Lepisosteus oculatus: one gene and its partner. The protein of the gene in region 2 purifies or fractionates together with the protein of the main gene of each other region. This does not show direct contact. Links are inferred from orthologs where the notes say so. Each region holds a gene or a part of one and is shown on either strand. Other genes may lie near its edges.

Region 1 (7,299 bases), on a different chromosome or scaffold from region 2:
TGTAAGCAATTATTAATTATTACTATTATTAAGACTTTCTCAGGGACACAGAATCCAGCTGCAGCCACACCTGCGCTCCCAGTACGAAGGTGCTTGTGAAAGGCTGCTCCGCTTCTCACTCGCCCCGAGACACTGCCCACCACAATCCCTGCCGGAAGAGCTCGAAAAACAATTATTCCGAATGGAGATCCATCCTTGGGAGAGGGATCGGCGAGGCCCGCAGCCGGATGACCACCTGAACACTAGAGAAGAGCTTCCCAGCTGGATCTATCCTGGACCTTTCCGGACGGAGCTTACAAAACTGATTCACCTGGAGGGAGACGGAGACGGGGAATGGGGCTCTTCCCATAACCGGGCTTCCCACTGTTGCTCCCTGCCAGCAGGAAGTCCAGGATGTGATCAAGCAGCAACACAGCGGATCCCACATCTGGAAGACACATCTGTGCCTCCTAGGGAAGATAATCCCTTCCCTCCTCAACAGACCTGAACACCCACCCTCGCGCAACGGCATCTGAGAAACCAACCCAACCCAAGCAAGCACGCCAGAACAATGGGCATCCATACTGGCACCCCCTCGCCTCCCAAACACCTGCCCACCTGCCGAGGTCTTCACGCGCTGCTGGCGAAACTGCCCTAGTGGGAGAGCGATGCCCCACTCCTCCGCCTCCGCCGGAGGGGCAGGACCCCCCACAGAGCCCCCGCAGAGGCCAGCCCCCCGCCTCCCAACGAGCTCATTGATGTGAGCTCTGCGCAGCTGCTGGCTCTGGGATGAGCAAGCGTTTCGCTACTTTAGAAGAGAGCTCAGACAAATGAGCACTATTTAGCACACCTGCAGCTTGTAAGAAGGTACGTCAGACATACCAGCAGGGGGGGGGGGAGCTCGAAGACGTGTTGTCTGTGACAACTCTGGTGTCCTCCTGCAGCTCTTCAACAAGGCCGGCAACTTGAGCACACGAGGCACAGGAGTCAGGTCCAGGGAAGTAGGGTCACTTTCTCAAGCGTGTTGGGCAGGACTGAGGTTTTGGTCGCCATGTTAGAGAGAGCAACGTTTGCTCCGGACCTCCGTCCAGAGGAGGGAAACAACGTTAATTCCCAGCCTCACAGGAAAGTCACAAAGAGAATAAAGGAGCTCCATCCCGTTAACCGTCACAGAGAAGGAGGATGATGGGAACTATCCTGAAAAGTTGCTGATACCCTAGCAAGAAGGGGACCTCAGGACCAACAGCAAAGCGAGCAGACCAATCAGGAAATGACAGAGAAGTGCATTTATGAGCGAAAACAAGAGATCCCTCCTTACTCAAAGAGTGGTGGGAGCATGGAGCGAGCTGCCCAGCCATGATGCCGATGCCCTGGCTGCTCTCAAGAAACAGCTGGATGAGATCCGAACAAACTGGTTGGACCCAGTGGCCACCTCTCGTTTACGACTGGCAGATATAATAAGTGCTTGTGGTGCATCTGTCTGCAACCCCAGCAGTTAGCCCAGTAACTAGTCGTTAGTAATTGGTCTCCATGAAGCGTGAGTGTTTCACACACAGCCCTGGAGAGCCACCATCCAGCTCTCCCAGGCCCTGATCCGAACGCGCAGGACACAGGTGGTCCCACAGTATGTACCGCCCTTGGGGGACACCTAGAAATATGCTGGACATCCTGCAGACTTCCCACACCAGGAGAGGACACCATACAAAGTCCCTGTCCATACACCCCAGAGTGCGGCCCCCCAGTCTGTACGGCCCAGACTCCGGCCCCCCCGGTCCATACAGTCCTAGAGTCCACCCCCAAAGCCCAGAATCTGGGCTCCCAGGTCGACATGCCACCTAGCAAAACTTCCCGAGAACAGCAGAGCTCAGGTCAGTCGAACTGGCAGCTCATCACAATCACAGCTCCAATGGAGTTAAACCAATTAAGCCATTAACCCATTAAATCCACTCCGCGGGCAGGGAGGACCAACTTCACGTCCGAGCGGCGAGGACGGAGACAGCAGAGAAGCCCTCAGCCACACTGCCCTCCCTCCCTCACTGAAAACACTCAGCGCTCAGCCCCATGACAGCCGCTGGACACCAGCACACCAGCCCAGGACAACCCCGCTCGGACAGAGAGGAAGCGGACGGGGCCCTGGCTTTCGCCAGCTCGCTGGCCCCCACCACCACCACCCCCCCCGAGGGAGGAGGGCGCAGGGAGCCCGGGGCACAGCGGCCGGGCTCCGGCACAGACCCGCGGACGCGCACGGCCCGTCCCAGAGAGCCCAACTTCCTCCTCCCGCCGCCTGGCCGGCCCCGAGTAAGTTTGTTTGGGTTTGTTTTCGCGCGGGGGAGACGGGGAGGAAGACGAAGGCGAAGCGGCGGCTCTTTCTCGCCTCCGTGGACGGACGGATACTGGCGGCTGTTCACCTCGCACACACACAAAAAAAAAGTCTTCTTTCCACCCACCCACCTCCCCCTCCTTCTCAACACAACCCCCTTTTCTCGTGCCGTTGCAGCCGAGCGAATGCGAATCTATTGCGTGCAGGTACAGAGAGACAGGCAGAGCTGAGGTCTGGAGCTGGAAGTCTAAATGTGTAGAAAAGCGAGCCTTACACACAAGATATCTGACAGTAACATATTGCAAGCAGCTACGCACTGCTCAGATGAATCCCTGAAACATATTATGTGCCAGGCAGACATGATTTGGTTATTTTCTTTCTATCTAGTGATTCCTCAAACGCAATTGCGTCTAAATATTGAGTTAATGTTGGAATACACTTGGACCGGGAGGGGGGGGTATGTTTGGGAATTTCGCTGTAAAATCGCTCCTCCGGCCCAGCCGTGCGTGTTTTTTTTGGCATTTTGCGGGCAGTAAAAGCGGGGTTTGCGATCCACCTGCAGTGTGCAGATGTTGCGGCTTTATTCGAGTTATACAGATTTATAGAGAAATTGCTACATTGTAACAAACTCACCCGAGACGATAGAGGTGCAGGCAGCGCGGGGTCTCCGGCACAGCCCCGCACGGGCTCCCATACAGGACCCGGCAGAGCAACAAACGGAGCAGGGCAGGGCGGCCCGGCGCGATCGCCTGACCAAAAATCAGACGCACTCCTGCCAGTCTGTGGCGAGCAGATTACAGCACACAGGTCATTTCAGTAGTAACTGTTTTGATTTCCTTTTGACTGATTGCTTTCGATCTTATTTTGACTGAATCGTGAAACAGGTGATTCACATCAGACATTATTTGTTTCATGGGAGATGTGAATTACTTCATTCTGGCAGTGTGTATTGCATAACCACAAAGGTTAGCCTAGTCAAGGAAAAAAAGCTTCCAAATGTCTGTTCCCTTTATAACTAATTTCACATTAACACTCATCATCCTCAGACCTGAAGATACTGTAAAGACTCTCAGTCTGGTCATCTGTAACCTCACATTGACACTCATCATCCTCAGACCTGTAGATACTGTAAAGACTGATCATCTGTAGCTGCACAGTAACACTGAACAATGCCTGATTCGGTGTGCAGCACTGTCTATTGTGAACATGTCCGGAGGAGCCCACGATGAGCATCATTAGGAGCTGAGTGAGGGTGAGGAGCTGGGGACTCTACCCTGGTCTACTTCTGCACCAGCCGTTTACACTCAGACCAATAAAAAACGCTGAAGGAACACAGCCTGCTTCCAGCAGGACAGTCCCTTCACTACACGGTTCTAGTTCACCTCCTGGTTCTAGGTCTTAATCATAGACAGTGTCCCCCTCCCTCTCCCTGTAGTTAGGAGTCCCGAGTCCTTATCCACTAACCCTGTCATTCAGCTAGTGATGCCCAAGCCTTACCCAAAGGGGGGCGGGAGTGTGGAACAAGCTGATACCCCGACTTCCTTCAGGAAACAGCTACCGAACGGGCAGTGCAAATCGGGGAGAGAGGTCTTAACTAGCAGGGCAAGTATAACATTTTAAAGAGGGCTCATTAAATAAAAAAGAATAACAGGAAAGACACGTTCTTTAAAATTGTACTTTCTTCTTGTAAGTCCTGGTCACACAGAATCTAATTTTCCAAGGGCCTAGAGCTCCCTTTATTCCATCTGTAGAGTTTAGGGGGAGTTTTAGGTCTATCTTGGAGAGATGGAATTACAGATAGCTGGTGATTGTCTTTTCTGTTTCTCAGGCACCGATGTGCCATCACACACATGCTCACACAAAATCTCAAATATGAAAAGACACACACTGAGTTATTAAATTCTGGGTTACCAAAAATCAAGATTTTAGTAAATCATCAAATCTTCAATTCTGACAGATGAGTTTATGTAAGAAATGCTGCAGAACTACATATAAAATAAACATGACATCCAGAAGAAAGAGGAAGGGTAGCACTGACTTCTTTGAAGGATCTGAAGTAAATAATAAAACGATTCAGTCAGGCGTAAACAGGGACAGCCCCAGCCGAGGCCCTGGCGCTTCCTATGACCAAACGGGTTGTAAGGAATGAGAAAACGCCGCTGCTGATTGGCTCAAACTTAAAAACATCACAAAGAAAGGGTCGGCGCAGGATGGAGCCTAGCCGCTCGCTGATTGGCGGATCGTGGAATGATTGGCAGAGAGGGGAAATCATTAATAAGAAGGCGTGGCCCCGGCTGTTGTTTATAGTTCCTGATTGGCTGGATTTGAATCAGAGTTAAGGCTTGTGTTTACGCTTTAAGGTGGGGCTACAGACGGGTTTACTTTGGGACAGAAATACAGAGAAAAAAAAATCAGTCCTACTTCAGAGAGAGACAGAGAGCGTTAGTGACAGGAGCGCGATAACCGGGGGAGCTACGGTTCCGATTCGCTTTATTATCGATTTTTATTTCGCTGATTGTGATGTGACGCCGAACAGCGATGGCGACCGGGAGACATGTTTTCGCCAGGACATAACCCTGGTCTCGTCTCTTTCTCCAAAAGTTGTGTCGGATCCCAATAGGCGATGGCAGAAAAAAAAAACAGCAAAAAAAAATACTCATAAGGCCGTGTACAAACTGCACAAGGCGACGACCGTAAAAAATGAGTGCAGTGGTGTTTCCAGTCAGCTGTTCTGTTTTGTTCTCTGAACGAGCCGCCCCCTCTTCCAACACGCACACACACCAAGATGTTTTTGCAAAAGGTTCCCACAAGAAGGCGACAGATCGCTTCCGCGTCTGTTTCGGAGTCTCGGTGACGTGATGTATTGACACAGGCGCAGCCTAGGTTCACGGACAGGGGTCCGGTGCGCCCTAGACCAGCAGCATCCGAAGAGTAGGGAGAAATTAACAAACTGGTCTGATTAAGCCAGTAAGGAAATGACTGGGGCGCTTAAGAGCACAGCTGGACTGGAATCCTGCAGGTACACTGGCCACCCCAGGAGCAGGAGAGTAGAGTCCTCTGTTGCTCTCCAGGCCACGGAGGTATGGGGAGTGTTGCTGTGCAGACAGCAGGTGACTATCGTGACAAAAATAATAACAGTATCCTCACACCTGTATGGCGCTGTTCTGGACACTCCACTCAGAGCGCTTTACAGTAATGGAGAATGCCACCATTGCCACCAGTGTGCAGCCCCCACCTGGATGATGCGACAGCAGCCATAGTGCACCAGTACTCTCCCCACACACCAGCTCTCAGTGGGAGGAGAGCAGAGTGATGAAGCCAGTTCAGAGATGGGGATTATTAGGAGGCCATGACCGGTAAAGTCCAGGGGGAAATTTGGCCAGGACCCCGGGGTTACATCCATACTCTTTTCGAGAAATACCCTGGGATTTTTAATGACCACAGAGAATCATGACCTCGGTTTTACGCCTCATCTGAAGGACGACACCTTTTTACAGTATAGTGTCCCCATTACTATACTGGGGCATTAGGATCCACACAGACCGCAGGGTGAGCGTCCCCTACTGGTCCCACTAACACCTCTTAATAATAATAATAATAACAATTGCTTACACTTATATAGTGCTTTTCTGGACACTCCACTCAAAGCGCTTTACAGGTAATGGGGACTCCCCTCCCTAAAGCAGCAGCCTCAGCTTTCCCAGGAGTCTCCCCTCCAGGTACTGACCATGCTCACACTGCTGAGCTCCAGGGGGCTGCCAGCTGAGCTGCAGGGTGATGGAGCTGCTGGCCATGATGATAACACCGGAGTCAGGCAGGGGTCACGCCAGCGAGCAATGAGCCCGAGGGGTCATTGGTGCCAGGCCCGGTCCTGGGGACCCCAAAACCTCGTTGCTGCAGCTCCCCAAACCGAACCAGTGTGTGTTTCTCTCCCCACCCAGAGGTGGGAGACTGTCAAGGCGCTGAAGCAGCTCAGTGAGGTCCGGAGGCGACCTCCGTCAGTGACCGGGGGAGGGACGGCTGCAGGCTGGGTTCGCACCCGGGGCCGGGCGGCGGGAGGGAGTCACCTGCTCACCACGGGTGTATCTGACCGTATTGTACTCCGAGAAAAAAGACAGTCGTGTATAAAGCAACAACACAAACAGGTTTACTCGCTGCTTTTCGCCAGGCTTCTATCGCAGAGGTGACACGTCACACGTCACGTACAGGCCCTGCCTGGGCATTCAGAGAGGGTCTTCTCAGTTTTGTTTCCACGCAAGTGGGAGGCGCGCCAGTTGACGGAACAGCGCTCATAGCAGGGTTTTTAAAATCTGCGTCCGAGCGAGTTCCCTTTTCCCGGAAGTCTGGGTAAACGAACCTTGAGCGCTGTGAGAGGCGAGTGGAGCCCATGAGCACACGCCCCCCCCCCCACCTCCGGAGTGGGAGATACTGCCACTCGTGTCGCGGAAGGCCACGTGGTTCTTACCCGACCCGAGAGCGGGATTCCGGATCTCGCGACTCTCAGTTCCAAACAGCCGCGCGGGGGCGAAGATGGCGGCGCGCCCTCTCGCCGTCCTCGAGGTTGGCGCCACTGCGTCACCGCTCGGGTCCGGGCGCGTGGTCTGGCCGCGAGGCAGCACCCCGGAGGAGGAGCGCTCGAGCGGTCGGTCGGTCGGCGGGCGGGAAGGGGACGCTCGCGCTGTGTACTTGAAGTCGATCCCCGGTCCCTCCCGCCTAAAGCGCGATCGCTCGAGCCGCTTGATCGCTCGACTTTCTTGAATAATTCGGTCGCCATTTTCTTTAAAAACTTCAAAACGGCCACCCGGTCTCTGGGCCCGCGGTAGCGACCGGCACTGAAATAATCTGATCTGGGGAGCGAAGGAAACGGGCAGGAAAACGCGATTGCGATTGACCCCAGTAACTACGCGGCGTTGTGAGTATCGGCGAGTAATATTCACTCATTTATTTTTATTCAGTGAGCGCTTCAGTCCATCACAGAGTGCAGCAGACCTGGCGGAGCT
Region 2 (7,324 bases):
AGCATAAGTAACAATAGCACTCCAACACAAAACCGAAACGAATTTCCCCCTGCTGTTAAATGAATCAAGAGGAGCCAAGCAAGCACAGAAGACTCAGCGGCCCCGAACGATCATGGCCTGTCGCTCTTTAGATTTTGGTTCATCGAGAAAAACAGACACCGACACCTAGCAAGCTCGTCAGTGCAAGGTGCTCCACTACAGAACAGGGCTCCAGAGAATTGGCATGATCCACATAGCTAATATACTGCCCGACCCCTTCTCATAAACAATCAACACTGAAAAAGCTTTTCGCAGGAGAGCCTATATACTACATCTGCAACTTCATCAACAGGTACAGGACCTGCCACAGCTGTCTGTCTAGACTGTGCTATCATCTACCCACTCCAGAAGGGCTTGCAGATAAAGCCCTACCACTGTGAATCCACATATTGCTCTGCGTCGATACAAAGTACTGCCCCTATATATCCACATATGGACTTAGTGGTTGTAAGTAAATATCAAACAACAAGCTTTCAGAAAGTTTTCCATATGTGGGTGTCACTGCCTCTCGACACGGTCGGGTCCCTTTTTCCAGAAGAACTCTTGCATTGAATACTAGAACTTTGATACAGACTCATCAGTCACAAACAGATGTCTGGGCTCTCCATCAGACCGACAGGTCAAACTGCAAACTGGTGAAGATGTGAATATGCTGCACCTTTTGTGCAGAGAGCAGCGCTACACGTTCAGAGTTCCCTTCTGTTTACGAGACAGAACTGGATATCTTAATCCGATTCACAAAAAGATATAGAATGTGAATGACCCAACTCGAGCAACTCTTGACTCAGTAAATCAGCGCATCTTGTTGATCTTGACGGGCACGATCATTTGAAAGTGAAAGACACTGTGACGATCCAGCATTTTAGCACAAACGCATCCTGATGAGGTGGTCTCACTGCCATTTTCCTGTTGAGTCCTCTTCAGATTGGCAGCGGGAAAACTATCCATCCAGCCCAAGGTTGCAGCGAGACCCAGAGACTATCCTTGCAAGCAACAGTCGCAAGGAACGATTCACCCTGGGTGGGACACCAGTCCATCACACACTTACAACAAGCCCTTGGAGAAAACTCCATTTTCTGCAAATAAAACACTTACACATGGAGGTCACAACAACACAAGGGGTGGGCACGGAGAGGACTGGGGTTGTGCATAATACAGAAAAGCAGAAGGGAACCCAAGACCTTGCGCAACGGGCCGGCACACTTTCTCCGAGAAAAGAAGAGTTTGGTTTAAAACCACTGTTGTGGCGTAAGTAAGGAAAACAGAACATACGTATTTTCCTTTGACAACCCAGATTAGAGTTCCCTGAACCCATGGCTACAGCCCCCCCTACAAAAGCACTTTTTTGTGTAGCTGGAGGCTGCAACTCTAATGGACCCCCCAAATATTCATTGATAAAAGCATCCCAAATTTACCTACACAACCTAACGCTGCTAGAGAGTTTTATGTGGACTCAAAAGCTTACAAAAGCTCTCCAAATGATAGAAAATTCTCAATTAAACACTTGACTTTTACACACCCTGGTAGCTGTAAACCTTTAAGAATGGTTCATACACCGACTGCAGACAGGACAGAATTGGCGACAGGGAAGTTTACCGAGAGCTAAAATGGGGAAAAATTAAAACACCATCCCGGACTACAACCTTTTACAAGAAAGGTAGAGTGCGACGGGGCTATTACAACTTTTAAATAACGTCTGTGTTGTTGATTTGTTAAGTAAAATGTTAATTTTGAGGCCTTTAACCCCTCAGATGCACAGGCTTCAAATCCTAAAGAATCCTTCAATTTGAAAACTCGAGTTGAACTGGTGGGACAGATACAGTCATTTTCAAAGTATAAAAATGACATTTCCTAAAGATAAAACGTACCTGATACTTATAACCGATTGGGGAGATATACATTTAAATATTTCTTCTGTATCTTCTATCCTAAACACGTTATGATAATTTGGAATAAACACAAAATGTCTGTCCAATAACAAAACAGGCAGTCTCAACATTACCAACATCAACAAGGAAAGGAAAAAAAAACGTCTAAACAGCCATAGTAGAGTCTGGCGGCTTTGAAAAGGCGTTTATTCGTGTTTAGGTGCGATGAGTACAGTAATAGAATAAATACATTTAAATTATTTCAGCATCGGAAAAAGTCAATATTAACCTACCTCACAAAAGCTTGTTCTCATTGTAAAAAGAAACACAGTAACGCCTATACATCATTATCAGACGCTTTTATTATGGAGGAAAAAAATGTCTCTCTGAACTTGGCCGTGTGAGAAGGGGGTATTTAAATTCTTCATTTTTCGAATAAAAACTGGAATTTCGTTCAGCTGGATACAAAGGGTGAAAATCGGGAGACAAAGAGCTACCAGCCGGCCATGCTGGTTTCTCTCGCTTAGCCTACGCTGGATATATATTTTAAGTTGATGTTTTCAGAAATCCCAGCAGCGAAAAAAGGCAAAACGTTATTTTTTAAGTGTATTGATCCGCCCGGCCTCCCGTACCCTTCCCGGTCTGTATTTCCCCCATAAAATAATTTCATTCATTCGAGCTGAGCGGTGGCTCACAAGCACACGGACCAAGGAGAAACATCTTTCAGCTGACGAGCCGAGCGCAGGGGAAGGAGGAGGAGGAAAAGGAAAGAAGGAAAAGCTCCAGACCGGCAAACAAATGAACGAAGGGGAAAAAAGGCAAAAAATAGGACCCGTTTTCGTGAAAAGGCCACGTAGAGACTCAACGGAGCAATAATCGAGGGGCGCTTACCAGCTCAGGGCAAATGCAGGTCTCACCGGCGCGTCTTCCCCCTCGCTTTCTGCGGAAACAAAGAGCTCCCTGCTGGCTGCACCCCCCTCCCTCTCTCTGTCGCCTGACTGTATTTCTCCAGCCACACCAACCATAGAGTCTGAGCGTTAGCGCCCCCCCTCCTCCACTCTCTCTCTCTCTGTTTTGTTTTTTCTAAAACCCGGCCGGCTTGTCCGAGCGCAGGCGCAGTGCCGGCACCACTGCAGGCGGAATGCGCCGCGGCAAAGAGGCCGGCCGGTGCGGCTCAGCCGGACGTGTTGGACGAGGTGGGGGATGGGGTTACTCTCAAACAGCGCCGAGTGCGCGTACGCGGCTCGCTCACGTCTTGCACCTGAAGAGCAGTACACTGTCGTTTACCAAATAACCTCCTTTCACCCGTACTCTAGCACCAGAGTAGATTCAGAAATCGCACAGAGAGCGTAAATAGTTTGGTCGCTAAGCGTTTTTACGCAGTAATCGTGCATTTCCCCAGGGTCTCCTATATTCGTATGTTCCGAAAGGTACCTTGGCAACATGTTTAAAGTGGTCCCTGGAAACTATTTTTTCCTCTCCCTAAGTTTTATCATCTGTTAAAAAGTGAGAATGAAGGGTCAAGCAAAATCCCGCTTAGGTCAGAAGATATCTTTTTTTTTAAATGACTAATCAGTTTGGGAAAAAAACCCAGAAGACACCAGGTTCTCGAGAAAAGGAGGATGAGACTGCCGCTGGGTCGCGGGATGGAGCCCCAGCGCTCAGACTCCAGGAAGCCCAGGAGTGGAGTCGAAGACCTCGCCCTCCTCAGGGACCGGCGGCACGTTTATCCCGGCGGAACCGCGGAGCCCGACACCCGGCCCGCGGCCGACGCTGCCTGTCTCCGCGACGGCGCGCAGGCCCGAACCCGTGAAGCCGTTTCCGGGACGGCCTGGACGCACTCAGCACGCCGGCGCTGATTGGGGGAGGGAGGACGGGCAGAGCAGCAGGTGTCTTCTGGCCCTGGCAGCACGTCTCGACCACCATCCTGGACAAGCCTTATGGGAATTCTAGCAAGGACCATGGACTCTCTCAGAGGCTGGTGCCACAGTGCCACTTGCGTGTCTTCCTCCGGCACTGCACCTCTGCCAGGAGACCAGTGCTGCCCAATTACTGACCCTCACCCCCATTCTCCCTACCCAGCCCGTTAGAAGCAGTCGAGGAGAGGCAGTACAACACTGGAACACCTCTTGCTCCAGAGTCCAGCAAATCCCACATAGTTTATAAAATACATTTGAAAAATCATATCCCATATACAGCATACTTTTTCCCCTCCAGTTCAAATAACTGGGTCCACCAAGTACATCGAGCCTAGCTCTAGAGAGCTGGAAGCAGGTGAACTGTTCTGATTAAGAAAATAAGACAATTCAGGTTGTACAGCGCCAATTTGGAAAGAAAGCAGCCGATAAATCCCCCCCAGAACAGAATTAGGTCATTTTGCTGCAGGTAACTCGAACCAGCTTGAACACTAGAAATCTCAAACCAGTAGAAATGGGCAACACTCACTGCTCTTGTATTTGCATTGGCTTCTATCATTAAACCTTTAATTTATTATCACACTCCATACTGTACTGTTAATTGAAGCCACCCTATGAACATCTCACTGGGGAGAGATTTTCAATAAAATTCACAGAAACCCACCCTACAGTTGTTCATTTTTTCCATTAATATAAAGGTAAATCAAGAAAAAGCAATTAAAACAAGCAGACATCGTTGTAAATTTCTTTCTTCTTTTAAAAAACAATTTATTGTTTTTCAGCATGTTTTGTGCAAACTCTTCCGTGGAAAGACACAGGAAGAGGATTAGTTTGCTTTCAGAATCTTTTTAAGTACAATAAATCTGAATGCAAGGAGAACTAGACCTGATGATTTTGTTTGGAAAAAAAAAAATGTTCCTAACTTTAAACATTGAATTAAACGGAAGTGTTTAAATATACACAGTACATATAAAGTTTTTTTTTTTTTAAATGTACAATCCCCAGGTAGAAAACTGCATCACACAGCAGGGGTCCAACACTGGAGTCAGATAATTTACACAGTAGATACGCATCAAGAACTATACTCCCGATACAAAGTCGGGCGTGACGATCGGGTTGTGCATGGCCTGCTGTGTGGGTTTGTGGCTGGAATGACATCTTAGATCTTTCTCCACTATGCAGAGGGAAGAATCAATAGACTCCAGAAACATGGGTGCTAGGAAAAGAAAGCAAACAGATGTGGCCAAGCGTTACATTAGCACCGATTTGCTATGGTCCTTCGGTTGCTCCTTTGTCCCAAATATTTTAGGCCCAATAAATTAATGGTGCATAGTAACTGCAGGCATCATGGTACTCGAACCAGAGCTTTTCTATGACCGGGAAAAGGCAAAGCTATGGGAGCTCAGCACCTGTACTTCAACCCTGCAGTAGTGATTTTTGGTTTTTCCTGGCAGGAGAGCGCATGCTAGCAAAGCACTGATGCATACGACCACCTAGGCCTGGATCCACTGTCACTTTCAAGTCAGTGGCATGAGCAGAGCCGTCCTGTCCACCGAAAGATGGGCCGCGTCAGATGAATAACCTTTCATAGGAAGGCTAATGCTGACTTCGCACATAAGGTTCAGGGCTGTATATTAGAAAGGCCTCAACTCCACACTACACAGACAATGCCTGACAGAGCCAGCCCAGACTGTGTAGCTATGAAGACGGGGCGACTTAACCACCCACCCCCTCAAGTTTGTGTGCCAAGACCAGTCAGAAAGATGCCGATAAAAACTGATTTAACTCTTAAAACCAGAAGGGCGGGGGATCAAGGAGAAGGTGTCAAAGAGCTAGGGATGTAGAAAGAAATCACAAAGCTCTCCGTTGGCACCCATCAAAGCAGAACACGCAGCACTTCCGGCCATGATGGAAACAGTACAAACACTGACTGGGAGAGGGACGGATCTGAACATGCTGCTCAACTTGCTGGTGTAAACCTGAAAGCGCAGGCTACTAGACAAAGACGACCGCTGAAATCCAGACGTGGGCGGCGGCGGGCGAAACTGACCCAGAGGGGGACAGTGCCTGCAGAGAGGAGGGACTACTGCTGTACTGCTCTGTTGACTGAAGTGTAATTCAGCACTTCAACGTGGTGAATCAGGCCACTATCCAGCACAGAAACAAAATTACCCGAGTGCAATTTGTGATGAAAACCCAGTGGGGAAGATCTGTGTGGCCAGATTCACATGGAAGGTGCTTGACTGGACAGAAGTCCGAACACGACCTGCAAATATAAACATCAGGCTGTATTTGCGATGGCAGTTTCGTTTGGCCCGAGAGGTAGGATGTTCTTCCTAGACTCGACATATTCAACATGGGTATCCGATCAGGGCATAATCCCACAATGCAGAAGCCAGAGGAACATGTGTTACAGCTGTACGAGCCAGGAGTCAGCACTAGGATCCTTAAAAGGCCACAATCTGCCACACCATTCAGTTTGGGGTCCCCCATTCCAATTCGATAGGTCTGAATGTTTTCCCACTCAGTTCTTGAGCCAACTGAATTACAGCAGTGCAGTACCTTTCAGCAGCCCTTAAAGAGCCAGCTCTCTAAAGAAGGATATAAGATCTAAAATGTGCCTGTCCTCCAGGACAGGACCAGCTGAAGACCCACAGCAACAGGCTTTAGTGGCTCTGAGGATTTGGGAAAGATTAGAGAGTCTTCTGGACTGGGGCCTTGCCGACACAGGTGGGCCTGTTTTCTACCTCAAGAGAGGAATGCTTAACCCCATGGCTAATTTGCCCCATTATCTGCGCTTACCATGCAGGAAAGAACCGACTTCCTGAAAAGATGACAAGTTTAACAGCATCCTCCACTCTCTGCTTAGATAACACACTTCGATACTTTGGCTTGCAGATGAATTTCAGGTAAGGCCTCTGTTCACAGCACACAGAGAGGAGCAGTGACTGTTGAGATCTTTTGCCCTATTACTATAAGCCTAAAGGTCACTTTGCTAACGTGAGCCTACGAGTTACTCGGTTTTACTCACAAAGGGCGTGTGCAGAACCTTTTCAAGCATCAGTGTTAAACAGAGCTGTGCAATGCAGAATTCATCTTCCAAGAGGGGGAGCACTTCGAGAAGACAATCTTCAATCACTAAAAACTCCTTTGCCGTTTTATAAATATAATCACATACTAAACGAAAGAACTTTGTCCGATTGTAAAAACGTCTTTAAAAAAAGAAAGCCGGCTAGATTTGCATACCCAGGGCTCAGCGCTAACCCAACTCGGGAACAACTGCCCTTCTTTCAGAACAGGTTGTTCCCATTTCCAACTCAGCCGTCTGCACCTGTCCAGCATATCCCCGGAACAATTTGTTTTGAAGAAATAAAATAAATAAAAAAACACCACCAAAAGATGCAAAACAAAATCTAGACTCCCATCTTCTAGACTGTACAACTGAGGAAGTCATTTAACATTTCCTGCTAGTGTTAACGTGAGCTAACTAGAGTTTGTGAC

The links.
Region 1: the proteins of smarca4a (region 2) and bicra purify together in Homo sapiens (affinity purification with mass spectrometry; 4 studies listed by BioGRID and IntAct, with this or other methods). This does not show direct contact. The link is inferred for Lepisosteus oculatus from reciprocal best matches to the Homo sapiens genes SMARCA4 and BICRA.

Annotation. Positions count from the first base shown.
Region 1 is NC_090698.1:6,319,115-6,326,413, reverse strand, and holds the start of bicra (BRD4-interacting chromatin-remodeling complex-associated protein), read right to left. Parts: upstream 3,014-7,299; 5' UTR 2,994-3,013; coding exon 2,933-2,993; intron 2,278-2,932; coding exon of another isoform or gene 2,041-2,277; exon of another isoform or gene 1,947-2,040; intron 1-1,946. Other genes in the region: znf541 (zinc finger protein 541), read left to right, coding at 2,041-2,277. UniProt on the Homo sapiens protein: Component of SWI/SNF chromatin remodeling subcomplex GBAF that carries out key enzymatic activities, changing chromatin structure by altering DNA-histone contacts within a nucleosome in an ATP-dependent manner.
Region 2 is NC_090706.1:16,566,035-16,573,358, forward strand, and holds the start of smarca4a (transcription activator BRG1), read right to left. Parts: upstream 3,034-7,324; 5' UTR 2,799-3,033; intron 1-2,798. UniProt on the Homo sapiens protein: ATPase involved in transcriptional activation and repression of select genes by chromatin remodeling (alteration of DNA-nucleosome topology).